Linked DNA regions of Xenopus tropicalis. Each later gene encodes a partner of the first gene's protein in a complex. Links are inferred from orthologs where the notes say so. Each region holds a gene or a part of one and is shown in the gene's direction. Other genes may lie near its edges.

Evidence for each region.
Region 2: mta1 (region 1) and cdk2ap2 share a complex: the UniProt entries of both Homo sapiens proteins name them as parts of the nucleosome remodeling and deacetylase (NuRD) repressor complex. The link is inferred for Xenopus tropicalis from reciprocal best matches to the Homo sapiens genes MTA1 and CDK2AP2.
Region 3: mta1 (region 1) and chd5 share a complex: the UniProt entries of both Homo sapiens proteins name them as parts of the nucleosome remodeling and deacetylase (NuRD) repressor complex. The link is inferred for Xenopus tropicalis from reciprocal best matches to the Homo sapiens genes MTA1 and CHD5.
Region 4: mta1 (region 1) and cdk2ap1 share a complex: the UniProt entries of both Homo sapiens proteins name them as parts of the nucleosome remodeling and deacetylase (NuRD) repressor complex. The link is inferred for Xenopus tropicalis from reciprocal best matches to the Homo sapiens genes MTA1 and CDK2AP1.

What each region holds. Positions count from the first base shown.
Region 1 is NC_030684.2:115,959,570-115,967,652, reverse strand, and holds the start of mta1 (metastasis-associated protein MTA1), read left to right. Parts: upstream 1-3,842; 5' UTR 3,843-4,123; coding exon 4,124-4,151; intron 4,152-8,083. UniProt on the Homo sapiens protein: Transcriptional coregulator which can act as both a transcriptional corepressor and coactivator. Acts as a component of the histone deacetylase NuRD complex which participates in the remodeling of chromatin.
Region 2 is NC_030683.2:59,554,403-59,562,366, forward strand, and holds the start of cdk2ap2 (cyclin-dependent kinase 2-associated protein 2), read left to right. Parts: upstream 1-3,139; 5' UTR 3,140-3,166; intron 3,167-3,279; 5' UTR 3,280-3,380; coding exon 3,381-3,441; exon of another isoform or gene 3,442-3,458; intron 3,459-6,211; exon of another isoform or gene 6,212-6,310; coding exon of another isoform or gene 6,311-6,311; intron 6,312-7,964. Other genes in the region: uncharacterized protein LOC101733107, read right to left, coding at 1-87. UniProt on the Homo sapiens protein: Acts as a component of the histone deacetylase NuRD complex which participates in the remodeling of chromatin.
Region 3 is NC_030683.2:98,574,549-98,581,905, reverse strand, and holds part of chd5 (chromodomain-helicase-DNA-binding protein 5), read left to right. Parts: intron 1-1,143; coding exon 1,144-1,310; intron 1,311-2,308; coding exon 2,309-2,536; intron 2,537-4,800; coding exon 4,801-4,998; intron 4,999-5,242; coding exon 5,243-5,454; intron 5,455-7,357. UniProt on the Homo sapiens protein: ATP-dependent chromatin-remodeling factor that binds DNA through histones and regulates gene transcription. May specifically recognize and bind trimethylated 'Lys-27' (H3K27me3) and non-methylated 'Lys-4' of histone H3.
Region 4 is NC_030677.2:161,135,785-161,143,668, forward strand, and holds the start of cdk2ap1 (cyclin-dependent kinase 2-associated protein 1), read left to right. Parts: upstream 1-3,521; 5' UTR 3,522-3,541; coding exon 3,542-3,599; intron 3,600-6,313; coding exon 6,314-6,411; intron 6,412-7,884. UniProt on the Homo sapiens protein: Inhibitor of cyclin-dependent kinase CDK2. Also acts as a component of the histone deacetylase NuRD complex which participates in the remodeling of chromatin.

The sequences.
Region 1 (8,083 bases):
CAAATTAAACATGAAACCAAAAAATCATTTTTATATTAACACATTCAAACCTATTATAAATGAATTTAAAAATCCCAGCTGTCAATCCTATACTGCCTGCCCCGCCTCTATGCCTTAGGCAGACAATGACTTAAACTTTCCATTCAGCACTCACATTCTCCCTACCTTCTCACCATCTATTTGTGTAGCCAGTGCATGGGCCTGGGCATATGGTCCCCCATTCTGGCACATACACAAGATTTTGGGGTGATACAAAGCTTGCCTTAATAACAGTGCCCACAAAATGGCAGCTGTCTGCTGGCTGTGATTGTATATTCCCAAGACTGAAGGAAACAAGATTTATATCATTTATATAGTGTAAGTGAAATTTATTTTGCTTAACAAACACACCAGAAAAGAAATTGGAATTATTTCTTAGGGTTTCTTAGGGTGACAGGTCCCCTTTAAGATTGATCTTCTGGTATTTGACCCTCCTGCTTGTTTGGGACCATTCTGTTTGCTGCCTGAACCGACCTGTGCCCTGAATATGACTATGAAATTGTTTAACCCTTCTGATACAATATTTTTGGACTGTTTGCTTGACTCAACACAAGCTTCCTCCTCAACTCCGACTACAAGCCCTTACACCCTTATGCAAACAATAATGCTTAAATTTCAGTAAACTTACTAAATTTTTCATTATTCTTTTTCATATAATGTAGCTTGGTAAAGCTGCCCCAGGTCACTTGAAAATGTCCACTTCGCATCACCCAGAATTTCCCTTACTCTTATGCCAGTGCAAATCATATTGAGCATATATAAGGCTTCACACATAACACGCACAGTGTCCTAGGAGTCCAGTGTGCTCGTTGTTTACTATGTGACAATGACAATAAAGATATATTCTATTCTAGAAGACATAGCACCAATCTGCAACCACTGGCAAGAAATGGAAGGGGAGTGAGATATAATGATGTCCCACTTCCTAGAAAATGAGAACAAATAACAAGGTCTTTTTGCAAATTAATTTAACCCGGAGCCATTGCATAGGCATGGGTGCAGGCTCAGGCAGCAAATTTTCTGCACAAAAATGTAGTTTCACGCCCAGGCCCTGATTGGTGCATAGGCCACAAAGGGTCAGGCCCAAGGAAGCAGGTTTTTCAGGGCAGCATGCCACCCAGCCACATCTGTAATTTTTCCTTCCTACAGACACCCATAACATTGGGGACTGGACACAGCTGAGATTTTGAGTTATTTGAATTTCTTGTGTCCAGTCCTCATTTCTGCAACCAGAATGAATGCATGTTTTTTGGAGCATAGTGGTAGATTCTCTTTTGTTTGCCTAGTTTATTTTTATTGTCCTAAAACATGGTCCCAGTTCTAAAGCCAGCCAAACGTGCACCGATAATATCGTACAAAACTTAATTGACGTTCAGGACTGATATTGCAAAAGGTTGCGGATATCGGTCGACCCGTCGATCGGCCAGGCTAAAATATTTTGATCAGGTGCCATTGAAGGTGCCCGTGCAAAATCTATGTTGAGAGCTGAATCGGCAGGTGGAGGTAGAATTTGTATTGTTTCTACCTACGTATCTAATGATTCAGCCCTGAGTGGCGGGTGGGAATGATCTTTTGTGCGACCAATGGTCACATGAAAGATAAAAATTGCTACGTGTATGGCCACCTTAAGGCTTGATATGGTTGAACATGACGCCTCAAAATCCTTGAGCGCTTTTGGTTGGAATTTGAGTCAAAAAATGTTCATTCAGCAAATGTAACAAGTTTTCATTTCTTGCCAGCTATGATCCACCTTTATGCATAATGTGCCTGATCCAAAACTATTGTTTTAAATTGCACAAAGACTTGTGAGTGCTTGTATTATGTAGGGTATTTTGATCTAGAAATGTGCTACGCAGCAGCAACAAAGCCAGTCATGGGGACAGTGCTTGACTAAATGCTCTCCTGAGGCATAGATCAATTCTTCATTTCTAGCACTCTCTGTGACAGGAAAAAAAACTGCTTAACAAATATGTCTCATATTATGAAATGCTACGCTGCTGTAAATTCCAGCCAGTTCCCACTGCAAATCCTTCCTGTGGTCAACGGCAGATACTGCAAGTGTATGAAAATTAGGGATGCACTGAATCCAGTTTTTCCGGTTTGGCCGAACCCCCAAATCCACGGTAAGCGATTCAGCCAAATTCTGAACCGAATTCTATTTACCATATGCGCGGTAAAAAAATTCCACTTCCATGTTAACGTGACAAAAAGTCATGTGATTTTTAGGATTCGGATTCGGTTCAGCCAGGGCCATGGATTTGGCAGAATCCAAATCCTGCCGAAAAAGGCCAAATCCTGGATTCGGTGCATCCCTAGTGAATCCACTCCAGTCCAATCATAATTGGGTTTCTATCTCTCTTTTGAACTTCCACTGCTCCCCAGTATATACGCTTTTGGTGTCTTTAATTGTTGATAGATGGTTACAAATTTACGCATTGTTTCCTATTAAAGGAGAAAGAAAGTTATAGTAACCCCATTGATTGTAATCACGGCTTTTTCATTGTACTGCAAATGCGTAGGCCCCGGGATCGTGAAGAACGAAGACGGGAGGAAGAGGATCGCTCAGTCGCAGGTACCCCAAGCCGGTGCAGTTTTCTCTTGACAGGTGCACCAGCCGGGGTATCAGGTAAGTAATTATAATCACTAGGGCACCTATGAATGCTAGGCATCCTGATCAGTGCCCCTGTGCCCGTCAAGGGGAGAGAGTACATAAAAAAGGTTTTGGGGTAAGAAAAGTGTGTAACATTAAAGAAAGTGAAGCAACTGGAAAAAAAATAATGAACAAATTACATTATGGTTGGTGAGATCTTGGTAGCCATTATTCTGGCTGGCCCATGGCATTACAGTTTAACACTGCACAGAATAAACTATACTAAGTTGTCCGTAGTGACACTAAAGTGTACTAATTAGCCAAGCAGCATTCTTATTGTATAGTTGCCTCTTTTTATAATGATCATGTACAGATGTGGGGTATCCAACCTACGGCCCTTGAGCCGCTGCTGAACTACAAGTTTCGGAACCCCGGCATAGCCAAAGTTAGAGAAAGCTGGGACTGAGGAAAGTTGCGGCTGGAAGAGCACAAATCCTTATAGATTGTAAGCTCTTTAGGACAGGGGCTTTTTTACTTCTTGTATTGCTTGCTTTGTGTTTAATTTTGTATGTCCGGTGTATAATCCCACTTATTGTACAGTGCTGCGGAACATGTTGGCGCTTTATAAATAGATGCTAATAATAATACTGGTTGATACCGGCACATAGCATGTGTATTTTAAAACCAACCAGTGTTTGAACACATAACAGGGCAACCCCCTGAGATAGGCTATTGCAGGCACATTTATTACGTTTACTGCGCCGTTGCCTCTGGAGGTGCTTTATAGAGTAACGGGATACCAGCACAAGACATTATAGTCTGTACATAAAAGCAATGGAGATGCACATTGTTACAACTGTACATTGATAAAGAGACAATAGAGGAAGGGCCCTGCAAGCAAGAGCTTACATTCTAAAAAAAAAAGAAAGAAAACGAAAGATAACGGTGGCTTTTTGCACCATCACGACGTATGGCAGTCACCGTGAAGGCAAACCATGGCTTCTGTTGCCCACGAAGAGGGAAGCTCATTTCCCGGTAATGCAGACAAATGGAGATGTCCTGGAGAGAGACACAACAGTTGCAGTTGTAGTTTGGATGGGGGAGGGGGAGGAAAGAGAAAAGAGTTGCACTGAATGACTGAGTGACTTCCTCCACCCCTCCCCTTGTTTAGGACTGTTGCTAGTATTGCTCCTTCTCTCTCCTCTTCTTCCTCCGAGCACATTGCCACCAGGAGGCAAGGCACTGCCCCCCCTTTAAATGCATCCTTTTCCCCTCCTCCTCGGCTGATCCATCCACCATTTTCCAAAAAGGAGCTCTGCAATCCCACCTGGAGGAGGATTTGTTTGTTTTTTTTTTTTTCCCCCCCTCATGTGGATCGTTGCTAAAAATCTATGCTGAGGAGAGAGGAGCAGGAGGGGGGGGTTCCAGACTTGCTAAAGCAGAAGGCACCGAGGGGGGAGTGCCAGTGGGATCCCCCCTCCCTTGCTGAGAGACATGGCTGCAAACATGTACAGGGTTGGAGGTAAGAGAGATCCGCCTTACTGAATGCAGGAGCAGCTCTACCTATTTGGGGCCTTGTTGTGGGATCAGCCTTAGTGATGATTTGTTTCTCTGCCTGCATTGTGCCGCTGCCTGTATGATGTGGGTTTGATGGTGGGGGTGCCAGTGTGCAGGGGGGCACAGACATGCAGCAGTCCGCCTACCATTGCTTTTGGGGGCGCTACGTGTATACGGGTAGGGGGGGGGGCAGAAGAGATGATTTGAGGGGAGACTGTAGGAATGTGCTGCTGCTGCAGCCGGACCTGAGGTGCCCCCATTTTGTCCCGGGTCACGTGGTGGTCCCCGGCTCACCCCCACGTCCCACACTTGTAATAATGTAACATACACGGCTCTATAATAGTGGAACTACAGAACTTAGTTAATGGGGTTCCCCCAAATACACCATTTGCAAAGGTTACACATTCTCACGGTGTCACAAGGGGTAAAAGGCAGGACGACTCCCAAAGTGGAGGTAGCTGTCAGATTCCCTGTACCTCAGGGTGAAATGGTGTATGGCAAACTTGCTGGGCTTCTTAGCTGTTCGGAACTACAGTACCCATAATGCATTGTTACCAGTTGCAATTGTTGTATACGGTTATTGGTTTATTTCTGTAGTAGCCAAACTGTGGCCCTATTGTTGAACCGAGACTGCCAGTGATACTGGGGAATTGTAGTGTAATAACAGCTGGAGGGCCGCAAGATAGATCTTCGTTTACCTATATGATTTGGCCTGTACCATGGCACAAGGCCAGTGATAACCCATATATAACAGTCGTATATGACTTTGCCCTGCTTTTACCCAACTCCTGCCGTGAGGTAACATCTTTTATGGCGCGCCATGTTGACGTTTCCACAAATTTCCAGCATTACCCGCCCATTTCCCCCTCCTCCTTGGGCCCCCATGTTTATTAACGTGATTTATTACATTTTTCTCAGAAAACAAACCCGTTAGGTTCGGGGGGGCTGGTATTCGTGGGGTGCCATGTTCTAGACAAGGCGAGGGAGGAGGAGGAGGCGGCGGCGCAGATGAAGATCTGTCCCCTCCCGCCATATAGTGAGCGCGTCCGTGGCTGTCAGCGGGGGGTGTTGTAATATAGCTTATTAGTACAGATATGTGGATAGTATGGCAAGGGGGTAGGATAGGGTATGAATGAGGGGATACCGGGCTTACACGGAGGTGGTAATGGGGGGCTAAGAGCGCTAGGAGCGGGAACCAATATGGCGGGGGATGGGGTTAATGGGACACAAAAGAGGCCGAACGCCACCACTGGCGGCAGGTACAGAGAAGGGAGCCAATGGCAAGTAGTGTGCGAACGTGCGTTTCCTATATATATACCGTTCCCTAATATATACCGTGTGTGCTGGGCTGGCAGCCCTCCTGCCATTAGTACAACAGATACTCCCTGGGTGTTTAGTACTTGCTCCTATCTTTGTAATAAACTGATCAGAGAGTAGAAGAAAACTTCATTTGACACTTAGGTGGACGTCAATCATCATATATTTATACGTTTAGAGACCATTCTAGAGTATAAGGTCTATGGTGCAGGGACCCAATTCCAACTTTAAATATAAGTTTTATCAATGTTTTCATTTGTTTACTGTACCCGCGCTTACATAGTAAGTTGGGTTGAAAAAAAGACACATGTCCATCACGTTCAACCATAATGCCTATATATACCTGCCTAACTTCTAGTTGATTCAGAGGAAGGCTTGATTTCACAAAAAACACTGTATTATTATTAATAATAATATTTATAAAGCGCCAACATATTCCGCAGCGCTGTACAATAAGTGGGTTTCATACATTGGACATACAGAGTAACATATAACGCAATCAATAACCGATGCGAGAGGTAAAGAGAGCCCTGCCCTAAAGAGCTTACAATCTACATGAACATACCCTGTTCTATATAAGTACAAACACAGTAATGGCACACAATTTACACATACAAATATATATGTTTATAGTGACTGACTGACATTCCAAAATAAGGCCTACGGCTCAGTAATTCTGGCCAGAAAATGACACAATGCATTTTCTGTCCAAAATGTATTTAACTAAATGACATACCTGCACTGCCACATTTGGTCACTTCTCAGCCAGCTGGAATATACCCTGTGTTACCATAGGCCAAAATGCCTGCTTTGCCTCAGTGTTCTTAGTCTTCATGCATTCTAAATACAGTACTCAAAATGCGCTCTAGGAACTTTAATAAACATGAATGTTATTGTTTAATAGGTGAGGCACCTAAACTTTATACATGGTTACCTCCAAGCAGAGGTTAAAAGAAGACCAGTCCAGCTAGTTCAACCACAAGCCTCTCACAATATATTGCTGGTGGTTTTTTTTTCCCCTTTTCTCCTGACAGAACTGGTGTTTTTGGACCTCTTGGACCTGATATGCTTTTTTAGTTCACCCCATGGCAATGAAGGAGTTTCTTAATTGTAAATGGTGATACTTTGGTACCTAATGCCTCCATCTTCACCAGTTTCTTTGTTGTCTTGAGATTCAGTTGGACCTATCTGAGCAAAGTTTGCTTATCCCTTGGTCTTAAATTGAGTCTCCTTCCTGAATGAGGCAGTATCTGTATGATCCCAAGTTTTTTATTATTGCATATAATTGTACTTACAGATGTTCGTGGGAAGTTTAGCTTTTTTCTTAAGGTGTAACCGCACTTGTAGAGGTCCTCCGTTTTGTTTTCTGAGGTCTCAAGGTGGCCATACACTGTAAGATCCGCTTGTCTTATGACGATACGCTGTCAGGTGACTTTGTTCGCAGAAGGTGAATGGCAGCTGAAGAAATTTGTGTGCACTATTTTTTATTTCATACATAAACACATAGTTTGGTATATCTATATTGGGTATCCAACTGTTCAATAGACCTCTGGCATTCATATTTAGGGTGGAAATGCAATAAAAACCGCTAAATTTAAAAAAGCTTTGTTATTTGGTGTAGAAAGATTTTTTTTTTTTTACCTAATTTGGATTTATTTGAATGTCTACTTTCCAAAATTATATGGTTTTCTGGGGGTCTTAGGACACATAATATGCAGTCAGAGGGTTCTGTTTGCTGAACCAGAGTTGGCAGGTGTGTGCCAGTAGACCCATGGTGTTTATATTTAGGATTTTTTATACTGAAACGATACAAAACGTGTGCCATATCATGGGGTAACATTTTTTTTTTTAGATATTTCATAGAAACCACTACGTTGAGCATAGCTTTGCATTTTGGTAGTTTGCAGTAGAAGGGCATATTTTTGGATTGAACACAATGTATACTTTATGAAAATGTTTGGTTTTTTTTTTTTTTGCAGCTTTCACCACACATACAACAGTGTGTTTTATTAATTAGTGAACATTTAAGCAATGAAATATGCACAAGTTATATGTTGTGGTCTCTACTTGCCATGTACTTTAATAAACCTGTGTACATTAGGCATCAAACTCTACAGTAGACCCCTGGGGTTCATATTTAGGATGTTTTTTTCTTTGTACCTAATGATATGTCAAATAGTTAGTTAAGTTGGGCTGAAAAAAGATCAAGTTTAACCACTCCAAGTGAACCCGGCACACACTTAAACCTATACTGACCTATCTATACACTCGCATACATAAACTATATATACCAACATCAATACCCTTGGATATTATGCTTGTTCAAGAAATCATTCAACTACCTCTTACAGGCATTAACAAAATCAGCCATCACAACCTCACTGCCATCCCTGTGAAAAGCCAACTACACTGCTTCAAATGAAAGTTTTGTTCCTCTATGGGAAATAATATGGAAGCTTTAAAGGAGAAGGAAAGGCTAAGTCACTTGGGGGTGCCAAAATGTTGGCAAATCACCAACTTTAGGCAAACTTTGTAATTTGGAGTAGAAAGACGTATCCATTTGAATTAGAAAAACGTACC
Region 2 (7,964 bases), on another chromosome or scaffold:
CTTTGATTTGTCAGCTGCATCAATGCCTCTTTGCTCACAGAGGTTGATGAGGGTCTCCTTGGTTTGCCTCTTATAAAATGCTGCCATCTTGCAACACTTTACCAAAATAAAAGATAGAAAAGAAAAACAAGAAGGGAAGGGCAACTGTTTGCAACACGTATGTCTTAAAAAAAATTTTACTCTGCACTGAGTTTGTCTTTGAAGACTGTTTCCTCCTCTCAAGGATTCACAGTCTTTAGTGCAAGGTTCAATTACTTAATCCAAGCACTAATGCTCTAAATAACAATATGACACCGCTGCCAATCAATTTGTCACGATTACGGCACTTCAGACGCACGTGACTTTAGGCGTGGTTGTCTAGAGGGTCCCCTGCTCAGTCTCACACACCTGGCACCCCGGTAGACTAGCGGCACAGCACCCCAAAGACCAACCAACGCTCACAAACTCAAATACAACTTGCTGCCACCACTCTCATACTTCTTATACTGGCGATGAGAGATGCCAAGCACACTGGTAGAGAAAGGGTTAATGTAAAGAACCGACACACAAACTCTCCATACTAGCAGTCACAGGGTTAATCAGCATACAGAGGGCTAAGGCACACAACTCAGTTACACACTCGGAGGTTAGGTACGTTTTAGAGCATCAAGGACAAACTTATTAAATTTTATATTTAATATTATAAAAAGTATAACAGTGCAAGTTAAAACAGGATGTTACAAAAAAAGGACATACGATAAAATAAGTACAAACAGTTTAAAATAAAAGGGAAAAACATAGAAGTCCTATACTGTACCAAGCAAAGTCCTTCTAGTCCTGGAGGCAAGGGGAAACCACAGGATAAACTTCCAATCGAAAATTGGTCCTCCAAGTATATCAGCGTATAGTCAGAAGAGCTGACTATTTATCCCAGTTTGCAGGGGATCAGGTAACTGGACACTCCCCCCTCCCTCAGGAATGCAAGGGGTGTCACCATTAGCAGGACACAGTGTGAGTTTTATGACCCCCTGAGTGTATGGGACTGGACCTATGATGAAGATGACCATAACTCCTTGTGGGAACATAATAGAAAGATGAAATTAGATTCATCAATTCTAAATGATCCCACCGGTCCCATACAGACTAAACATCACTACTGTGTGACCTGCCCCTGCCCAGATACTCCTATCTGCCAAACCGAGAACCCAAATCCAGCGATGTTTGGACCCGTAAGAAAGGCAATCGTAAATGAAACATATACTCAGGTTTTGGTACCTCTAGTATAAATAGTATGGGTTCTGGGACAATAAATGTTCGTGAGGTTGGGTTATGGTGTGACCTCCACATCACCTATGATGGGTTTTGATGTGAACTCTAATTTACACCATGTGGGCTTTCACTCCCCCACATGGCATGGCCCTTATCAGCCAGGGATTAGAGTTTGGGCATTCCAGGATGTGAGGCCTTTACACATGGCTGGTTCCAGACCCTAGTGACCAGAGGCCTGTTATACATCTGTTTCTGTCCCATGGGGGAAGATTTTTGTGATACCTTGGCCTGCTTGATTAACCCTTACAGGCCTGTATCATGACAAACAGGTTTTATATATCATGCCCCCTTCAACTTTCTTTTAATACATACTTGGTACAGTTATATGAAGATACTTAATGTGGACCTGCAGTGACAAAAGAAAAACCTGAAATATATCTCCGTCTGAGAGTACCGGAGATTGTGAGACATTTGTTCTTGATCGGTAAAAAAGATATTTATGTTTGTAAGCATACTATGAGCACTTTTACAGATATTAAAAAAGAGATCACTAATTGTATTAGAGTTAATTGCTCACTATAGCAGATATAAACAAACAAGGTGTTGTTGAACTTAGTTTTTCTGCACTTTATTATGTGAAAACTAGATAAATGAATGTTCTGCTACAGGTATGGGATCTGTTATTTCCAAATTACGGAATGGCTGTCTCCCATAGACCCCATTAATAATCAAATAATTCTAATTTTTGAAAATGATTTCCTTTTTCTCTTTAATAATAAAACAGAACGACGTACTTGATCCCAACTAAGATAGAATCAATCCTTATTGGAGGCAAAACAATCCTATTGGGTTTATTCATTATTCAAATGATTTTTTAGCAGACTTAAGGTATGGAGATCCAAATTACAGAACAATCCCATTCTGGATAATAGGTCCCATACCATACCTCTCAACATTTTGAAAACAGAAAGAGGGGCAAATTTTTTTGACTATGCCCATTTTTGAAACCACACCCCCTAAATACCACTACCATTTGACTAATTTGGCAGGTTATTTAAAGGTTGAACACATTTCTGGAGGTTTTGGGGTCCTGTTTTATGTGTTATTAGTTTTGTTGAAAAAGCTAAAATTGTCTTTTAAGCTGCAAATCTCAGATCCCCCAAGAGACCTACTCTCTGCCAAAAGCACACTTAATTAAATTTGTATCTTTTTTAGCTTCAGTGCAGGAGATCAAAGGGAAATGAAGGACTTTTCCAGTAAGAATTCAGGACTGCGGGTTAAGCTGTCAAAAGGGACTGTCCCTCGAAAATCGGAATATTTGGGAGGTATGCCATACCTGTATTTGCATTTTCATTTTTAAAGTTGAAACTGTTCACTCATATACACTTTGCACTTCATTTTATAACTAAATGAACAATTTAAATATATGATCAGGAGTCAGTTAATAAAATATACTAAACTATATATTGTTTTTCTTTTAAACACTTATCTTTGCATCGATATAAGGGTTCTGGAGAACAACTACACCAACATGCTTGGGAGTAAAAAATTTCTTGTGGCAAACAAAAAAGACCACAAAACAGAAACATTGGAGCAGCTACTATTTATTCAACAAACGAATTGTTATTAATTTCTCTCTTACAGCTAACTAAATTACTATGTACCCAAAGCACTTTTGACTAGCTTCCCAACATCGCCCTTTTTAAACTCATCCAACAAATACTGCAGTAACGTGTTGAACCCCATACACAAGCCAACAGCAGACGACGCAACCAGTTTTATGTCGCGCCTACAGACTCTGTGCGTGCAATTGTTCACCCCTTCCGCATCCACTCCGTCAGACGCACGTACCTACGTATATGGTCCTTGAATACAGGATGTAGTACCCCGCAGGACGCAGAGGCAAAGCAAGCGAATGGTAGGTTGCTTTGTCAGCAGAATTTGAGCCCAAGGGCCTGAGGATTTCTATCTTCTTTAAAAAATGATACATCACATCCGGGCTCCGTTCGTTAATTTACTGGTTTTTGACAGTTTTTTTACTAGGTCGCCTAGTGGGTAATCCGGCCTTGCGGAAGAGGCACGTCTCGGTAGTAAGGTGTCTAAAGTCGAAGGGTGAGCGTAGTAGTTAAAGCATGTCGTATAAGCCCATCGCCCCTGCGCCTTCTGGGAGTAATAGTGCCCCTGGCACTCCAGGTAACAGAGTAATATAGGTTGGTTTATAACATTTTTTTTTTAAAGTTTTCTTTAAAGGTAAATGGCACGACTACAGATTATTGGTATTTTGGCGCTCTGTGGCAATTGTCGGGACCTGTAGGTGTTGCAGGGATAGTCACCAGACCCCCAAGGGCAATGACACAGCACCTGAAAATACGTTGATGTCCACATAAAAGGAAATTGCTGTGTCTGAGACAGTTTACTTGCGTACACTGTTGTAATAACATGAAAATGCAGTGAAAGTAATTTTTAAGATATTACCTGTGTGCAACTTTTAGATCTCTACATTTGCATTTTACAGTACTACAAGTTTGGCTGAATAAAGCCTGAAATTGCTATGTATATCAAAAAAGGATATAACAATTTATTTTTTAATATATTATTACCTGTTAGCGCTGCTTACTAACTGGTAAATTGATTGTGGCAGCACTGAGGGTAAGGACTATTTCTAATTTGTACTTAGAATTGCTGTGTGTGCCATTTTTCTAATGCTGCAAGACTTTTGTTTGCTTTAATTCAATTGTATCTGCTGAATCTCTAGAATATCAAGCATACTTTTAGGCTTTGCCAGCATTTACTTATTGTTGCTTGGTTGGATTTCTCAATTTTACTTCAGCTTTAAAAATCTATTGCATTTAACTGTTTTATTAGTGTTAAGATTTATCTTTAAGATACATTATAAAATATATATACATTTATTTTTTATAATATTTATAATTTATATACATTATAAAATCCAAGCAGTTTTTTCACTGATATGCCCAACTAAGGTGGCCAAACGATTTGATCAACAGCAGGATACAGGCCATCAGGGCGAGGACTTCATCAATGAACCGATGCAGGCAGATACGTTGCCGAATTGGTCTGAATTTTAGGGATTAAGTCCATGTCCTTTAAGGTGTCCATACACTGTAAGATCTGCTAATTTTGCAAGGTTGTTAAGCAAGTGGATCTTCTGATATGCCCACCTATGGCGGGCATAGGTGCCATTGGTTCAGGGACTGCATCAGCGAGCCGATCCAGTCCCTGATCCAACTGAAAAATTAAACCTGCCCGATCGAGATGGGTATTTATCTGGCCTAAAATCAAAGAAATTGAGCCGCCCTATCAACAATTGTCTGACAAGTCCACCTGCATTTGCTTGTGATTGGCATTTAAAGAGGCAGTGTACCTCCTTGTTTAACTTGAGTTCAGTGAATAGGACTTGTATGTATGTATTTATATTTTAGCATCCTTGTAATAGACTGCACCACCACTGCAATATCTCCTTAAAAGCCCTTATTGAAAAAAGGGTTCTGACCCACAGCAATGTTTCAGACCAACACTGGTGTTTTATCAAGCTACTGAAACAGCTAATATCCGTACATTTTTATAGTGTGATACAGTGACTATTGGTAAAATTGGTAAATTACAAACCATTCATTGTGAAATATTTCCATTTCAAACTACATAACTACCATTTGTTATATTTTAAACATTTTTACTTTCAGAGGCTTTTTGTGCATTAAGCCATCCCCATCATCCTTAAAATAAGCAACCTGCAACAAAAACAGATACATAAAACCCCAATTAAAAGCAAAAATTTAAAACCCATAATTTATTTTTCTCATTAAATCACAGATAAATCTTAAAGGAGAAGGAAAGGTAAAAACTAAGTAAGCTTTATCAGAAAGATCTATGTAAATACAGCCATAAGCACTCACAGAAACGCTGCATTGAGTTCTCTGTCAAAAGAAACAGGATTTGTTGTCTCCTTGTTTTTCTCTGCCAGAGACAGGCAGCTCTCTCCCCCTTTCCTGCTCCCCCCCCCCCTCAAGAATGCTAAGAACTCCTTCCCCTTCTTAGGAATGTGTGATCTGAGCCAATCAGCAGGAAGATTCCTCATAGTCTTACAAACTGATCATGTACAGTGTCTTGGTCTTGGTGCAGGAGCGAGGCATTATGGAAACTTTCTTTACAGAGCTCGGAGTTGTTTTTTTTTTTTTTCCTATGAGGCTTCTGATCATCTGAACCGGAGAAATATGGGGAGACCTAAGGGCACTATTGAGAGAACTGAAGATATACCTGCATCTTGAGATGAACTCTTTATTAGCCTTTCCTTCTCCTTTATATCAAATTCTCTATTGAGGTCATGGGGCATTAATGTCTCCAAACTACGTATCCATCTTGCTTCTTTATTCAGTAAAATTCTCTATCTATTAATACTAAAAAAAATCAAGCTGTCTCTTATTTTCTCACTACAGGCCATGAGGTGCAACAGTTAAAATTCCTGATCATTGATAATGCCCCCCCCCCCCCAAAAAAAATAGAATGAGAATTTTACTGGAAAAAGAAGCAAGAAGGATACCTAGGTTGGAGATGTTAATGCCCCATGGCCTCGAAAAAGAATATGATTTAAGTAAGATTTGTCAGCGATTTAATGAGAGAAATAAATAATAGGTTTTACCTTTTTTTTTTGCTTTCAATTGGGGTTTTATTTATCTTTTTGTTGCAGGTTGCTTCTTTTAAGGATGGACTATTGGTGTTAGTGAAAAAGTTTAAAATGTAACAAATGGTGGCTATGTGGTTTGAAAGGAAATATTTGTATCTGTACTTGTTGTTTCACAATGGTTAGTAGTATGATTATTTAGTTTGTAATAAGATTTTTTACCAATAGAGATCACACTATAAAAATATACGGATATGAGCTGTTACCAGTAGCTTAAAAAGACTGGTGTTGATCTAAAACATTGCTATTGCACTTCAACAGGTGGAGACTGTTACTCTAAAAGTGTGCATAGAGAGAGAGGATGCCAACCATGATAAAGCAGAACTGCTGATACCAAGCATTTGAAGATGTTTTAAAAGAAGTATGTATGTATATCTTTATTTATAAAGCGCTACTTATGTACGCAGCGCTGTACAGTAGAATACATTAATACAAACGGGATTATTAAGCTAATAGATGAATACAAAGTATAACCATAAATACAGATAAATACAGTTGCAATAAGTTAAGAGTCAAAGACAAGAGGATGGAGGTCCCTGCCGCGTAGAGCTGAAGTGAATGATTAACATTATCAAACGCTGCGAGATCCACAAGTAAAATTGCCACACTCTTGGCTCACCTAATCAAATATTTACTCAGTCACACTTCACATTTTCTAGAACAGGCAGCCATCTCTATAAAAAGGTATTCTCCCTCCCATCCTTTCCCTCCTTGCTTCATACTGCACATGTGTTTCATTCCCTCCCCCCCTTCGCCTCACCTCCCCTGTGGCAGATCTGCTTCTGATTGGCTGGTGGGCATGTGTAGCTCAGAACAGGAGACAGGATCAAGTTACACACATGCTCAGAGAATAGGAAGGCTGCCGCTGGCAGCCTACAGGAAGGGAAGAGAGATTTCAGTGATTTCACTGGAGTCTTCACACTGCTGTAGGCTGCCAGCACCATATCTCAGAGAAGCAAGCAGGGATCTGGGAATTTAGATATGCAGTAAGTACTTAAAAAGAATGCCTTTAGACTTACTTTTAATTTATATTAACCTTTCATTGTCAACCCCATCCTCAACAGTCTAACCTCCATAGCTTAAATCTTCCATCGTCTTTACCAGTTTAGTTGCACGTCTCTGCACTCGCTCCAGCTCATTAATATCCTTCTTAAAGTGATACTGACAGCCAATAAACAAAATTTTCTTGCATCTGCCCTCATGTTTACATTGGTATCAACTTTTAATTTCTTTATAAAACAAGCTGCAAAGTTTTTTCACTTTACCATTATCATGGAATCAATGACAGGTCCACAGGGCAGCCATGTTTGCTCTCCTCTTCCAGGCTCCGGTGTGTGCCTGTGTGTAATGGGAGGGAAGGGGGAGATGCAGGCAGGGAAAGCTGAAGCTGCTGTTATCTACTGCTCTGTGCCAGGGGATGGGAGGGATAAAGCTCTGTGTTGGTGTGTGTAAGAGGGGGAAGGAAATCAAGCCTGTCTGCTGTTGTAAGGGAAAAGGAAACGGGAGGATCCTTTCAGTCACTGACGTCAGCCTGCTCCTGCTTTGACTGACAGGCTTAGAAAACACAGTTGGGTTTGTCAGACTGTTTGGTCCAGGATCTTAGGAAGTGTTTATTTAGACAACAAGGGCTTTCTGGAAAAAACGGTCCACATAAGTTATAGGTATGTTTGGAGGTAGAATCATTTATTGAAAATAATTATTTTGCTGTTAGTATCACTTTAAGGACTGGAGCCCAAAACTGCACTGCATACTCAAGGTGAGGCCTTACCCAGGGACCTATAAAGAGGCAAAATTTTATGTTTTCATCTCGAGTCAATGCCCGTTTTTATACAAGATAGCACTTTATTTGCTTTAGATGGTTCACGTTTATATTATTTCTACCAAAGTGCATAACTTTGCACTTGTCCACATTGAACCTCATTTTCCAGTTTGCTGCCTAGTTTTCCAACTTCAAATCGCTCTGCAAAGTGGCAGCATCCTGCATGGAACAATTTAGTGTCATCAGCAAAAATAG
Region 3 (7,357 bases), on another chromosome or scaffold:
AGCAGAGATTGGATTGAAGCCAATGCCAGCAAAACCTTACTGGGTATAATCAATGCTTTTTTAAGGCTTCAGGAACAAGAAATGAAACCCAGTCATATGCCAGCTACTTAGGTTAAGGTATTGTAGGGGCGATTTGAAAAGCACCATCAAATAAGAGCAGAGCATCTATCTTATTGTCAAACCTCAATTTACTATAATGAGCACTGGTACAGCAGTGAAATTGATTTTGCATTAAAATGACCATTCACCTTATGCTTATATTGTACTGCTGCATTAGTAGCATCTACACTATCAAATGTTTTTGGCAAGAAGCAGCTTTGAAGGTAACAGTTTGACATTTATTTATTTAAAAGGGTAGACATTTACCTTGAAATGCACACATACAGACTGACACGCACATAAAGTGCAGATACTTTGGTCAGATTTGCCAAAATTCATAAGTTTGTTTTTCAGACTGTGGGAGAAAATGCAGACAAATAAGGAGAAGACAAAAGTGCCTTCTGTTCACTGAATAAAGAATGTCCCATATTTGATTCAGTTTAAGCTTTATGCAGGTTAGGGTATGATAGGGGTATGATAGGCAATTCATTCTTTCCAACAGTACAATTCTGTGTGCAGGAAGCCAAACTAGGAAAAAATTGGCAAAAGAATACAGATCTCATTCTACTGCCATAAATTATGTAATGGTACAAAATATTTGAGCTTTGTCCACCCCCCCCCCCAAAAAAATGGTATATGGAAGGGTATCTTTTGGTTTTGTCCTCAGGGTACCATATGTGTTTCTAGCAGTTTGGAACTAAAAACCGTTTTCTTCCATTTTGTTGCAGCAAACTCCAAAGCAAATTTAAATTTTCCTCTAATTTGACGACGCTGAGTCTTGTCATAATGTTGGGAAGTTATTATTCTTTTACTGCTTTTTGTCCTGATCCATCTGCCTTCAATTATCAAATTAGCAAATCTAATCAAACATAAAAGCACTGTCATTAAAGTCGGTGAAAAGCAATTTACATACTCTCGAAATGTTAAGTGCTGCGTTACCTTGTGCGGCTGATGTTAATGTCGTGTTAATGCATTAAAATCAAGGCAGATGATAGAGCTACAAATGGAATGAGAACATGATATTGTTTTTTATTTATCTTGTAGTTGAAGAAGGTGACGGTTATGAGACAGACCATCAGGATTACTGCGAAGTTTGTCAGCAGGGAGGGGAAATCATATTATGTGACACATGCCCCCGTGCCTATCACCTTGTCTGCCTGGATCCTGAATTGGAGAAGGCCCCAGAGGGCAAGTGGAGCTGTCCACACTGTGTAAGTCTTTCCTTTTTTTCTGAAACGATTAGGGATTATTTGGAATGTACAGAACAGGTACTTGGTATTACTGCTGTCAGCTTCAGGTTTCTATAGATTTATTTGCTTTGTTTTACTGAGATTTTCTTCTGCTTGTATGATGCACTACATACCTTTTCCACTTATTCTGCAGTGCAGTAATATTGTTCTATCATTCTGCCCGATGAAATAGAGATATGAACATAGCAGTCTTAAGGCACCTTAAAAAGTAAACAAAAGGAATGAAAACATAGGAACTCATTAACTTATTTATAGAATAAATGTAAATGTGGGATTTATATCTGCAAACTTAGTTCCAGGAAGCACCAGACTATAAATTAAGTTAGTATTCTATTTAAAGGGGTGGTTCACCCCTAAATTAACGTTTTTAATTGCTAGGGAAAATAAGATCCTAGCAACCAGATAGTCGCTAAAATGCCAAACTAAAAGCTAAATAACTTAAAACACACAAAAAAAAATTGAAGACCAGTTGCAAACAATCTCAGAATCTCGGCATCATACTAAAAGTTAATTTAAAGGTGAACTACCCTTTTAAGCAAACAATTATTCATTTTGGATTTATTTGCTTGTTCTCTGAATTATTAAAGGGAGATCTAAAGGCAAAAAATGCTAATCACTCAGTGCCTTCACTGTTTCCAAATTCATACAGAAAATGGATTTTAAAGCTGTGTAAATTAAAAGGCAAATTTTGCTGTCTGAAAGCCAGATTTTATGCCACTATTTTACATAAGTTCCAGCAGAAGAAAAAACACATAAAAAAATACACCTTTTTTTAATGCGGCAAAGCCTGTCGATGTATGGCGAATTTTGTCCCTGTTTTTTTACACAGCATAATAAATAGGCCCCTTAGTGTTAACAAAGCTAGCATAAATCCTTATGATAGATATTATTATTAATATCGTTGATTATAATCAAACATAAAAACATACTGACGTAAATTGCTGTTGGCCCTTGAATAGGAAAAAGAAGGCATTCAGTGGGAACCAAAGGAAGATGATGAGGATGAAGAAGATGGGGCAGAAGAAGAGGAAGAAGAGGAAGATGACCACATGGAGTTTTGTCGTGTTTGTAAAGATGGGGGCGAACTTCTGTGCTGTGACACTTGTCCTTCTTCTTATCATTTGCACTGTCTTAACCCACCATTGCCTGAAATACCAAATGGTGAATGGCTGTGCCCTCGTTGTACGGTAAGACCTCATGAACTCAGTTTTGGATAAAGAATCATTTATGTTTTTCTGACATTTGTGAAAGGAAGCAAATAATAGCACATGTGTATGGGGTTTGTAAGATATGCTTCCTTGCATTTTGCAAAGGATAGCATGGGCTCTGCCCTAAAATATCATCTAGACAGACTGTCTGCCATAGTAAATACATTTGAGGTACAATGAGGACATTTGATGTTATTAGGAATTATTTTGCTGTGTTTAGTAAAGTGGAAAGGAAAGTGAGTCAACTGTATATTTGTGAAGACTAATATACAAACGTTTCTGTAAAAACATGCAATAAAATGGATGAAAGTTGTAAATCTGTAGCTTTAAGCTGATATTAACCTGTGCTATAACATCTAACAGGTTGCAGTGTATATGGGACAGAATATCTACAGCAAAACAGTGATGAACATTCAATCTCAAGTTTATGGGTTTGATTTTATCAGTAGGATAAAGAGTTATACACACTTTGATGAGCTGAACAGAAAGTAGGATGTTGGTAGTATATTGTGTTATATTAAAAGATAAGGATTGCATCTGAAGACAATTGTTGATCTTAGAATTATGGCTTGAGCTTAGAATATTTGCCATTGCTTGAAAAGCCAGGCAGACAAAAAAACAAGAGGCCATGGCTGTCATGGCTATGTCAGGGTGTCAAATCCATAGGGCAGGTAATGAGATAAGATGTGTGGTTAGTTTGCCCTCAGTAACTATAACAATATTTGTGTATTTTTAGTCATTCTAACTAAATGAATTGCAGTTGCAATAACAATTGTTATGATATAGCAGTTATGGTAATAGTGTTTTGACTGATAATGTTTTGGTACTGCTCATTTACATTAATAAGAACTATTTATTCAGAACTGGAGCCATACAAAGACACATCCTTAACATTTTCCATTTTTACTGAACTATACATGTTGGTTCATGTTGAATGTTTAGCAAATAAACTTTTCTTGGATAAGTGCAACGACATTGTGAAGGGCATTACTTAATTTAATTACCACTAATATAAATATAGATAAAATGGGCACTGTTCATTGAGAAAGAAGGGACTACACAGTGAGAGGAGCAGTTCAAAGCTATGGGAAGTATAGTGGTGAGTGAGTAAAAAGGCTGGAAATGGCGCAGAATAAAGGTGAGTTGGTAGTAAAACAAGGTGAGGGAAAGGTGGTGGCATGGAAAGAAGGAAGAACAGGTAGAAGAGATTTCACTTGGAAAAGATAAGGCTGATGCCACACGCGGCGTAGCGCTACTTGTGCCTGCACCCGAATGAATGGGATATGCTCGGGTGCAGGCACATGTAGCCGATATACGCATGAAAACGCAAGAGAATTCAAAATCTCGCGTTTTCTTGCGTATATCGGCTACATGTGTCTGCACCCGAGCGTATTCCATTCATTCGGGTGCAGGCACAAGTAGGAGGCGTAGGGCTGAATTTTCGGCAAGCGTTTATCCGCTTGCCGAAAATTTCAGCCCTATGCCTTGTGTGGCATCAGCCTAAACGTTGAGAGAGATTTCACTAGAAATAGCATGGTAATGCATAATGCATGTAATGGCATACATCCCAACTGTCCCGATTTTCGCGGGACAGTCCCTCTTTTGACAGCTCAACCCGCAGTCCCGGATTCTTACTTAAAAGTCCCTCATTTCCCTTTGATCTCCTGCATTGAAGCTAAAAAAGATACAAATTTAATTAAAAGTAGTTTTTGGGCAGAGAGCCTGCACTTAGATACATTGTTTCTCGCTTTTAATTAAATAAGTGGCTTTTGGCAGAGAGCCCAGAAAGTTAAAAATCCCCCCTGCACTGAGATACAATTGTAACTAATAAGCTAAACAGAAATGTGTCCAAACTTTCAATAACCTGCCAAATTTAGTCAAATGGGAGTGGTATTTAGGAGGTGTGGTTGCAAAATGGACGTGGTCAAAAAAAGTCCGCGCTGTGCTCAGCATTTATTTTTGTCCCGCTTTCAAAATGTTGGGAGGTATGTAATGGTTGAAAAGAAAAATTAATGCTGAATTGATGTAAAGACAAAACTTAAAGAAGCAGCAGAACAATTAGAGGGGAACTGAGGTTTGTGGCAGTGGTATTGCACCAAGGTTTTACAGATATTAAACAACAGTTATGAACGTTTTTATAACTTTTCCTTTATTTTTTTGTGTGTTTTTTCATAAATTACAAGTGAATGTTACTTCAATGTATGATAAAGGCATTGAAACATTTGTTTTCATTTTATCTTTAGTGTCCACCTTTGAAAGGAAAAGTTCAACGAATCCTGCACTGGGTATGGAGAGAACCTCCCCCTCCATCAGGGTTTCCCGTCGATATAGATCCCCTTATGCCACCTCCAAAGCCTGTGGAGGGCATTCCAGAAAGAGAATTTTTTGTCAAATGGGCAGGGCTGTCCTACTGGCACTGCTCCTGGGCTAAGGAATTGCAGGTGATGTTTAAAGAAACTACCAGTTATAACATTGATCATAGAAATGCTTTTTTAAATCATGAATAATAAAATCCATTTAAATACAGTTGATTTTAATCATCTGATTGCCATTGCTTGACCTGCTTAATGCTATCATTATTAAAATCCTATGGTCAAGAGGCAAATCTAAGGATGAGAGGCATGGGAACATGTTGCCTTTTCACCTCCATATTAAATGTGTTGTTTTTATTATTTATCCTTACAGCTAGAGCTATATCATACAGTCATGTTTCGAAACTACCAAAGAAAAAATGATATGGATGACCCACCTCCATATGACTATGGGTCTGGGGATGAAGAAGGCAAAAGTGAAAAACGGAGAAACAAAGACCCGCTGTATGCAAAGATGGAAGAAAAGTTTTACAGATATGGCATAAAACCAGAATGGATGATGATACACCGAATAATGAATCACAGGTAGGGGGCCACAAAGCCCAAAATGTGTGTGTGTATGTATAACTTTATTTATAAAGCACCACAAGGATATGCAGCGCCGTACAAAGTGTAATATATATATATATATATATAAAACAAGAAGAGTGGAGCACACCCTATTGAGGCACAAATGCCCTGGGTGCTGGCAAAATACGGAAATACACGAACAGAGAGCCACACACACAGGGACTTAGCAATTAGTGAAAAAAGTTTTAATGAAAAAAATTCAACGTTTCGAGCACTAACTGTACTCTTCTTCAGGGACAGGGTTTGTCCCTGAAGAAGAGTACAGTTAGTGCTCGAAACTTTGGATTTTTTTCATTAAAACTTTTTTCACTAATTGCTAAGTCCCTGTGTGTGCGGCTCTCTGTTCTTATATATATATATATATATATATATATATATATATACAGGTATGGGATCCCTTATCCGGAAACCCATTATCCAGAAAGCTCTGAATTACGGAAAGCCTGTCTCCCATAGACTCCATTTTAATCAAATAATTCAGAATTTTAAAACGGTTTTTCTTTTTCTCTGTAGTAATAAAACAGTACCTTATAATTGATCACAACTAAGATATAAATAATCCTTATTGGATGCAAAACTATCCTATTGAGTTTAATTAATGTTTAATTGATTTTTTAGTAGACTAAAGGTGTGGAGATCCAAATTACGGAAAGACCCCTTATCCGGAATACCCTTGGTCCCGAGCATTCTGGATAATGGGTCCTATACCTGTATATATATATATATATACATACACAGAGCAACATAACTAAGGGAGCTGTTATGTGCATAGGTTGTAATGGTGAGAAGTGGAGTGTTGGCTCAGGTAGACAGAACCTGTTATAGCTTACAGTTCCCAGATGCTGTATAGAGTAATAGTTTGATTTTTTCCTAGTATTTTTAATAGGAGTGGGTATTCACTGTAAAAACGTAATACCTATATGAAGATTATCAGAATCCTTATCTTAGATGACAAATTTGTGCGTGTTGAATAAACTGTACAAGCCCTGTGGCTGGCAGTAACACAGAGTTAGACATCAATGACACTCTATATATAAATAAAACACAGCACTAATAAAATATTAACATTCTAAGAGCAGACTCTGGTCTTAAGAGTAGAGGTTGGCATGCACAGCACAGCACATAAAGAGACTTAATAGATGGTAGATTCTGGAATTGTGTTTGTGTGTGTGTAAAGGTAATAAAGGCTAATGCATTCAGCTGTAGCAGACATTTATTCTAAAGAACTAATGAGCTAAGATCATCTCTAGATTAATGCTTCCCAGATAGCTATAGTCCAAAATTGTGCAAAATCCCACTGGTGATTACTACAGGTATATCAAATTATATAGAGCTGGACATATTTTTAAAAGGAAAAAAAAATTGCCTAATAAAAGAAACCAAAACTCTTAGCAACTTTGCAATATAAAGTCATTACATTTTTGTAATGGTGGTTGAGGTATTTGTATATATAACTGCTATTAAAAGCAGTGTTTGCATGTCCTTTCTATTTTCTGCCCTGGTGGTTCTGAATCTTGAAACAATGTAATACAAACCAGTAGATTGACAGACCTGTCTTGATGGAGGAGACTGACCTTTGCAACATTGTTTAAAAAGTAACAACCAGGAGTTCTGCAAATGTTTCTTTCTATAGCAACTACATTTACAAATAACTTTCAAAGCACTTAACATTTTTAATAATATTGGAAAGTTGCTTAGAATTATGTCTTCTTTCATTAGGCAAAAAATAATTTTTGGAGTTGTCATGGCCTTTAAAGAGTGTTTCTGAGCATATGTTTTTTTAAAATAAAGGGTGTTTAATTGTGAAGCATTGCAAGAAAACAGTTGCACTGAAAATGTATGTGGCAGGGTTTCTTTA
Region 4 (7,884 bases), on another chromosome or scaffold:
TATAAGAGTCACCTCTTTGATGTAGAATCAGCAGTATTTTAGGAGTGCAAACAAAAGTACCAGGGATGGGAATTATGCTTACAATGGATTACTGAAATGGTCTTTCTACAGAGCAAGTACAGAAATAAGATAAATAATAATACACACATCTTTGTAGTAGCAAGCACACTAATCAAATAATCAACTGTATCTGCTATGACTACTGTTATCTGTTAAGGCAAAAGATTTGTAGTCTTCTTAACTAGACTCTGTAAGCCTCACACAGACCACCAACTGGGTTAGGACACATTAGTAGCAGGAAATAGTTGTCTTTGGAGTCTATGTATAAATAACAACTGCAACAATCAATGTTACTTAACCTTGGGTCCCCATGCTAGACTACAACTCCAAGCATCCTTCATCATATAATCAATGTTGCACAAGGCTAAAAAACAGAACTTTAAATAACTGTTGGCTGTGCATAAAGAAATTATCTTTGGTGACCAATATTTAAAAACAGGGTGTTGGGCCCAGGATTTGGATGGACCTGAGCCAATAGTTGTGTGCTTGTGTCATTAGTGCAAAATTGCTGTAGTGTTTCAGTAGCTGCCACAAGCATCTGTGGCAATTCTAATATGACAATACAGCCCTTATAATGTAGCGTTGATATTTTACACTTTGTAGGCTGCATTTTCACTGCATATTTGCTGCTATATGTCCACGTCTTGCTAGTAATAGAATTCTTTTAATAGCAAGACATGGACATATAGCAGCAAATATGCAGTGAAAAAGCAGCCTGCAAAGTGTAAAATATTAACGCTACATTATAAGGGCTGTATTGTCATTTTAGAAATGCCACAGATGCTTGTAAAAAAAGAAAAAAAAAGGTGTTAAGTTGGTATGTATTTTTCAGGAAGAGGTGGCCATGAACAGTGTAAGGCCAGTCAGAGTATCATGGATTTCATCTGCTAGTGTACATTTTACACCCAAAATCCACCCTATGTGCACAGAGACAGGTATATCACATTTGAGCAGGTTACTGTTGTACATGTTCCTTCATAAATCAATAGAAAGTGAAATAAAACTGTTCTTATTACCTAATATTCACATCTGTGTAAATGCTGTCGGTGCAAAAGGGGCCCTATTTGTTTTCATAGTTAATCTTACAGCAATGTCAGTCACTGTTACTCACATGCACAGGTGCCACAGTTTCTAAACTGCAGTTATTCCAGATTTCAGCAAAGGATTTGACCCAATTTAAAAAAAAAAAAAAAAAAATCTTAGCTCTCAAGCCTCCTGTTTCCAGTCAATCTGAAGCCTACCCCTTACTGATATATGCCAGTAGTGTGTTGTCCTTCTAGATAAAAAGACATCCGTAAAGAGAAAAGTTGTGGTTCTGATTCCCTTTGTCCGATTGTATCCATATTAAGGGTTGGTTAGCTTCAGCAGCCTTTGGGAGCACTTGGTATCTTTTTAATGCCTCCCTTTCACGTTCCTAATATCAACAAGCCCTACCAGTTGTCTGATGAAGCTAAATATTCTTATATTATTTTATTTGTGTTCCTAAAATATTCTCTTCATACAATCAAACCGTATTAATAACAAAATTCACCTCCAAGGTTTTTTATTATACAGGTGGATTTTATTTCTATAATATTATTTTTGGGAATAGAGTCTTAATTACTAAATAAAAATAACAGTTTTAAAATGCAGTAAGATGTAATTTATCCCTTTCATCCCTGATATAGGTTAACACCACATATATCATTGCTGAATGTTTAATAAAGTTAAAGTAATTTTACCCCTAAGGGTAAAGGTGGCCATACATGGTAAGATCTGCTCACCTGGCGAGGTCACCAAGTGAGCGGATCTTCTCCCGATATCCCCACTTACAGGTGGGCAATATTGGGCTAATTTGGTCATTTGGCCCTAGGGCCAAATGACTGAATTAAAACGGTGTGTATAGGCGCTGCCGGTTCGGGGCCCGCATCTGACAGAAAAATCGCACCTGTCCAATTGAGATCTGCCCAATTTTTGGCTCTGGCACACGGGGAGATTAGTCGCCCGCGGCAAAACCTCCCTGTTCGCGGGCGACTAATCTCCCCGAGTTGCCTTCCCCTGCCATCCCACCGGCGAACATGTAAGTCGCCGGCGGGATGGCAGATGCCAAAAAAGACTTGTGAGTTTTTTTCGGCGATTTCCCGAAATCGCCCCGCGGCGTCTGCCATCCCACCGGCAACTTACATTGTCGCCGATGGGATGGCAGGGGAAGGCAACTCGGGGAGATTAGTCGCCCGCGAACAGGGAGTTTTGCCGCAGGCGACTAATCTCCCCGTGTGCCAGAGCCCTTAAGGCCAGATGTTGGTCTGGGAGGCCCATCTTTGTGTCCATACACGGGCAGAGAAGCTGGCGAATTGGTCTAAAGGAATGATTTCAGCAGCTAGAATCGGCCCGTGTATGGCCACCTTAAACACTTATGAGCCTCAGTCACATTTTGCTGGTGGGGTAAAACAGTTGTAGTTCAACATACAGAGACCCTCAAATTGGCAGTGTTAATATACAGGAATGTACAGCTTGGGTCACTCTAGCGGTGAATGAAATGGCAAGAAGTGGTTCAAACAGTGCTGATGTCCTGTGAAAAACAAGAAAAGCCAAAATGCTGCTTTTATTGGGAAGTACCTTGGTTCATACCCACACAGCGACAACAGGCAGACCTCTTCATATAAATACTCACTTGAGAGTTTTGGGGGGTGTATGCCTGGAAGTCAGTGTGTAAACCGGGGTACTTTCCATTAAATAACATCACAAGTCACGACACGGCTGCGGCAGACAAAATGCCCCACGTGCCACTATAAACAGCTGGAAGGATGCAGGTAAAATGTCATCGGTACAGGTCCATATATTTATAAATTTATATCCGCCTTTACAAAATAGTTACAAAAAAAATAAAAATTCCCCTCAAGCACTTTTATTAAAATAAATAATACTATTTACTTTCTGGAATACAAAAATACACCCATATTTCACCCTATAATAAAAAATAAATGAATGGTTAAAATGTAATTAATTTTGCCAAAAAGTGTAAAAAAAAAAAATGTAAAAAGTTACTTTACTAAAAATGTGAAAAATCTTAAGGTTACTTTGATCAGGGAACAAAAATGTATTGTACCCATTGCACTGAGAACAAAATCAACTTCCCCTCTCAAAGTGAAAAAAAAAGACCTTCTGAAAGAAAATGTCCGTGTCGCGAAATTCACTGCTGAAAAACAGTTAAAATGGCATAAAAGTGCCCTAATGTTGGCGCGACGGCTGGCTTCCATGAGAGAAATAAGCCCCCCGGGGTGAGAGGTGAGCGGGGGGCTGCCCAGGGACAGGGCTGCTGGAGGCTTCATTGCATTGTGGGTGTCAGTACATGTGACGCCATATCTGCCGGTGCCGCCGCTGTAAACAACAAAAAGTGTCTGAGGGAGACAGACAAGAGCCGCTCCAGTGGATCTCAGGACATTTTATTTGTTGTTGTTGCCAGATTCCTCCCCTCTCGGCGGCGGTCATGTCTCTGGGAATGTCTTACAAGCCCAACCCGAACGCCCAGCACCCCGTCAGCAACCCCGGCTTGCAGGGTAAGTGAGGGGACCCGGGGTGGGGAGCTTGTTCAGGGGGCAGCGAGGGCTTGGGCCCAGTTGATTGGAGAGGAGGGGAGCAGGATGGAGACACCTGGGGAGAGCCGGAGTTCATGTGCCGGCCGCTACATTCATATGAGTTCCTGGCGGAGGCTGTTCGGCAGAGCGGGAGCCGATCGCAGTGTTCGGGCGGGCTGGCGGTGCTTGTGGGGACAGGGGGGACCCTGTGGCATGCGGGGAAGCGATGGATCCGCAGGAGCCCTTTGATCAAGTCCGTTTCGGCGCCTCCATGATCGGCTCCCCAGGGCTGCTGATTGATCTGGAACTGGTAGGCACTGTGCGGGCCTCTGCTGGCAGCAAGTGGAACTGCAGGGCGCTGCTGATTTAGGAACGTGTCTCTGTCGGGAGGGTCGTGTCCATTATTATCATATTACCATTATACACAGGAATACTTCTGGCGAATAAAGGAAAATCTTACATCTTATAATTGATTCATTCCCGTATTATTAATGTTTGGCAGATTTATAACTCATGTAACAAACTCTGCCTTAAATTAATAAGCATTGTTATGCATAGCACAAATTGGTCATTGTTGATAAAAGAGCATGAGGGTTGGTTGCTTTATGGCAGTACTGGGATCTCAAGCTATTGTGCTGATAAATGTCTGCGAAGCTGTATCCACACTTGAGAACTTGAGAATAATAGGATCATTATATGCTACCAGGTGTATACAGAGAGGCATGGTTTGTATTTGGAGAGAGAGAGCACAGGCAGGGAGCGTTCATGTATTTGAATCTCATTTTCCATTTTTATTGTTAAAAATGGTTGGTGATGTGTTAAAGCTGATTTTGCATTTTTACAAGCTGTGCAATTAAAATGCCATTGGGATTCATATCTCTGGGCATGGTGGAGTCTGTGGAACAAGGAATATTAAATATAAAGCGGGGTTATATTCTAACTGACATAATAGCCCTAATAGATAGCTGTACAACACTGGAAAGCTTGTTCCATAAATCAATAGAAATTGTATTTGCAATAGGAATATTTCCAGCCAGTTTCAGTGAGCTGCAGGCAGGGCCGTTTTACCTAGCAGGATGGTAGTGGGCCCCTTCCGCCCTGTTTCACAGTGTTTAAACCGTCGCCACTTTTGGCCACACACATATATACCACATCCATTTTACCAAAATGTAACCCAGACGTGCCACAATTAGAGAAAATGCCATAACTAGAGAAAATGGATAATGAGCATATGAACTCCAGACATGCCAACATAAATTCCAAAGTAAAATAAAGGGCATATTAACCCTAGATGTGCCAGTATAATTACGACAAAAAATAATTAGCATATGAACCCCAGCTGTGCCAGTATAATCACTATGGAAATGGGCAATTAGCACTCTATTAACCAGGCCTGAATTTGTGGCGAGGCAACAATGGCTCAGACCTAGGATGGCACAAATTTAGCGGCGGCCACACCTGAACTTTGCTCACATACAGAGCACTGGGGACAGGACGCACAGAAAACTTCAGTGCGTCCTGTCCCCAGTGCTCCGTATGTGAGCTAAATGGATGGGGGGGGGGGATTAGCAAATAAGATTGCTGGAAAATGTCCAGTAAGCATTCCATTAACTCCAGACATGTCCGTAAGATCAGTGGATAGATTGAAAGCATTACCTACACTTGCACATTCTAAATACTAGTAGCAAAGTTACATGGCCAGTATGCTATTATCAATGGCAGTTCCCCCCACCCAGTGTTATGCTTCCATTTATTATCCCATTACCTGTATGGGTGGAACACATGCAACCCCTATAAGGCATCTCACCAGCTATGTCCCCTTACTCTGCCCTGGTACTCGAAGGGATACGCTGGGTATTATTTTTTTTTATTGTCTTATTAATAAAATATAGTGTTGACAAATCCCAAATAATGGCGTAGAGACTCTAGCTTGGGTGACTGTGGGGACACAATAAAATGTAAAAAAAGACCAATAAAATAAACACCCATTTATAGACTGGAAGCATTTCCTACACTAAACTTGCACAAGCAGAACACGAGTAGTGCAATTTCCATCTTTTCTTTCATTCCTTAAGCTTTTGGTGCACTCACTTTCTGTCTGCCAGCTTGTGAAGAGTCCACCTGTTAAAAATCCAAGATGGCCGTGGGTTCCAAAGTGGAGTGAATAGCCATCTTGAATTTTCTTTACACAGAAGAGACTCATCTGAGACCATGTTGAGGAGGGCAGCGGTGGCATAGGGGTATGAGGAAGGGAGGAAAAAAATAACAAAAAATCAGATCCCCTTGAATCCCCTTTGCAAAGGACTTGGTTTCAAAACGTTGGAAAGTCCTTTATCAAGGGAATTCAAATTAAATAAGTGTGCATTAAACAACTGACCACTATACTGTTTGGGGCTCTGTGTACTTGTAATGCCATCTGATGTTTTCTACATATACAAGCTATACAAAAGGGTATTGTCTATGGAGAATATTTCAGCAGTGGGAAGTAACCTGTCAGTTCCAACTTTTATTCTTACATGCTAATAAACAACAAAAAACGTTCCTTGCATGCAGTAAGTAACATCTTCATTCTTCGCTAAAGAATACATTTATATGGATTTCATTCAACTTCATGTTATTAAAAACAAATCATTATAGAAGCAATTCTGGCATAACTTTCTTACTATAGTAAAAATCCTACGTGTTCTTTTCAACAGCTGGAAGTGCTCACTCCCCTTCGACAAGTATGGCATCGACTGCACAGTACAGGCAGCTAGTTAATGACTACGGACCTCCATCTTTAGGATATACACAGGTAAAGCAAATGTACTTACTTATTTACAACTTCGGAAAACAAAGCAATTTGAAGGGCTTTCCACCACTGATATTATGCCAGCTCTATGAGAGGTAGTTCTTTGCTTTCCACCGGCGACTGCTCTTGTTGCCAATGGAAAGCGGGTGACTGAACCGCCATGTCGGTTCTTACCCTAAACGTGTTTCCTAGCCCTGCTGTATTTATTTGAATTAGGGTGATCGGGCACCATTTCCCTTAATAGCTCTCAATGCTATCTCTTCTCTTAACCAGAAGTCAGCAATTGTTGACAGCATTATAGTGAGCTTTGTCAGTTGTGAATATAAATTTATGTCAGCTGGAATAGGAAGAGAAACATCAATTAACAATGCAGATGCTATTATGAATTGTGGTCCCAGAAGCTGCTTTTACTTCCGGTTTAAAGCAGAAACAAACCTACAAACATTTTTACTCTGCCTGGTTCCTGATTTCTAAAAATGATTTTGGGGAAAGCAAATAAAAAAACAAAGGGCAGTAGAGGGAACTTTACAGGCTGTAGAGTGAGTTTACAAAACAATACCTCTCCCTTTCATACTTCTTCTTGCCTTCCTGTATTATTTGCTTTTTAGCACAGGTTTTCAAGAGAGCAATATCTCCGGGAATATCATCTTAAACCAACAAATGTATTTTTATTTTACTTGTAATATTGGTGTGTAGGCAGCCATCTCAGTGCATTGTGTGAGTCTAAGCTTTCAGAAAGAGCCAGAGCTTCATATTAGAACTGCATTCAGGAAAACTATTGTTTCTCTTACTCCCATGTAACTGGAGGAGTCCCAAGCCAGATTTCTCAAGGTCCCCATACACGGGCCGATTCTAGCTGCCGATATCGGTCCCTTAGACGATTCGGCAGTTAATCGGCCCATGTATGGGCACTACCGACGGGCCTGCCCGACCAATATCAGGAGTCGGGTGCTATAGCCCCGAGTCTCACACTTAAATCAGATCTAAATCAGATGTGTAGACACGAAAAGGTTTGTAGGTGGGGGATATCGGGAGAAGATCCGTTCGCTTGGCAACATTGCCAAACGAGGGAGGGGTGTGATATCACTCCAGCTCAGCAGTAAAGTGTGACTGAAGCACAGGTCACATGGCTGTGGCACCCTGGAAAATAAAGAATATGGCTAGCCCCATGTGAAATTTCAAAATTAAATATAAAAAGACAGCCCTTAAAAACCAGGAACATGCATGGGTGGGGCTTTTTATCCAATATAAAAATAGGAGCATGGATATAACGCCTAATTCAAAGCTTTATTAATGTAACATGGGAGGAAGGTAAGAATAAAGTTTGGAGATGTGAGGAGATCCAAGGATTTCTTTCACTTCTGCTCAGATATGCTCTTTAGAGACATCAGGCTTGTGAACAAAGCAGTGCTATTTAGCCAACAGTGTGAATGACCAGTTGAATATCGGTTTATTTGCTTGTGCATAACACCCATT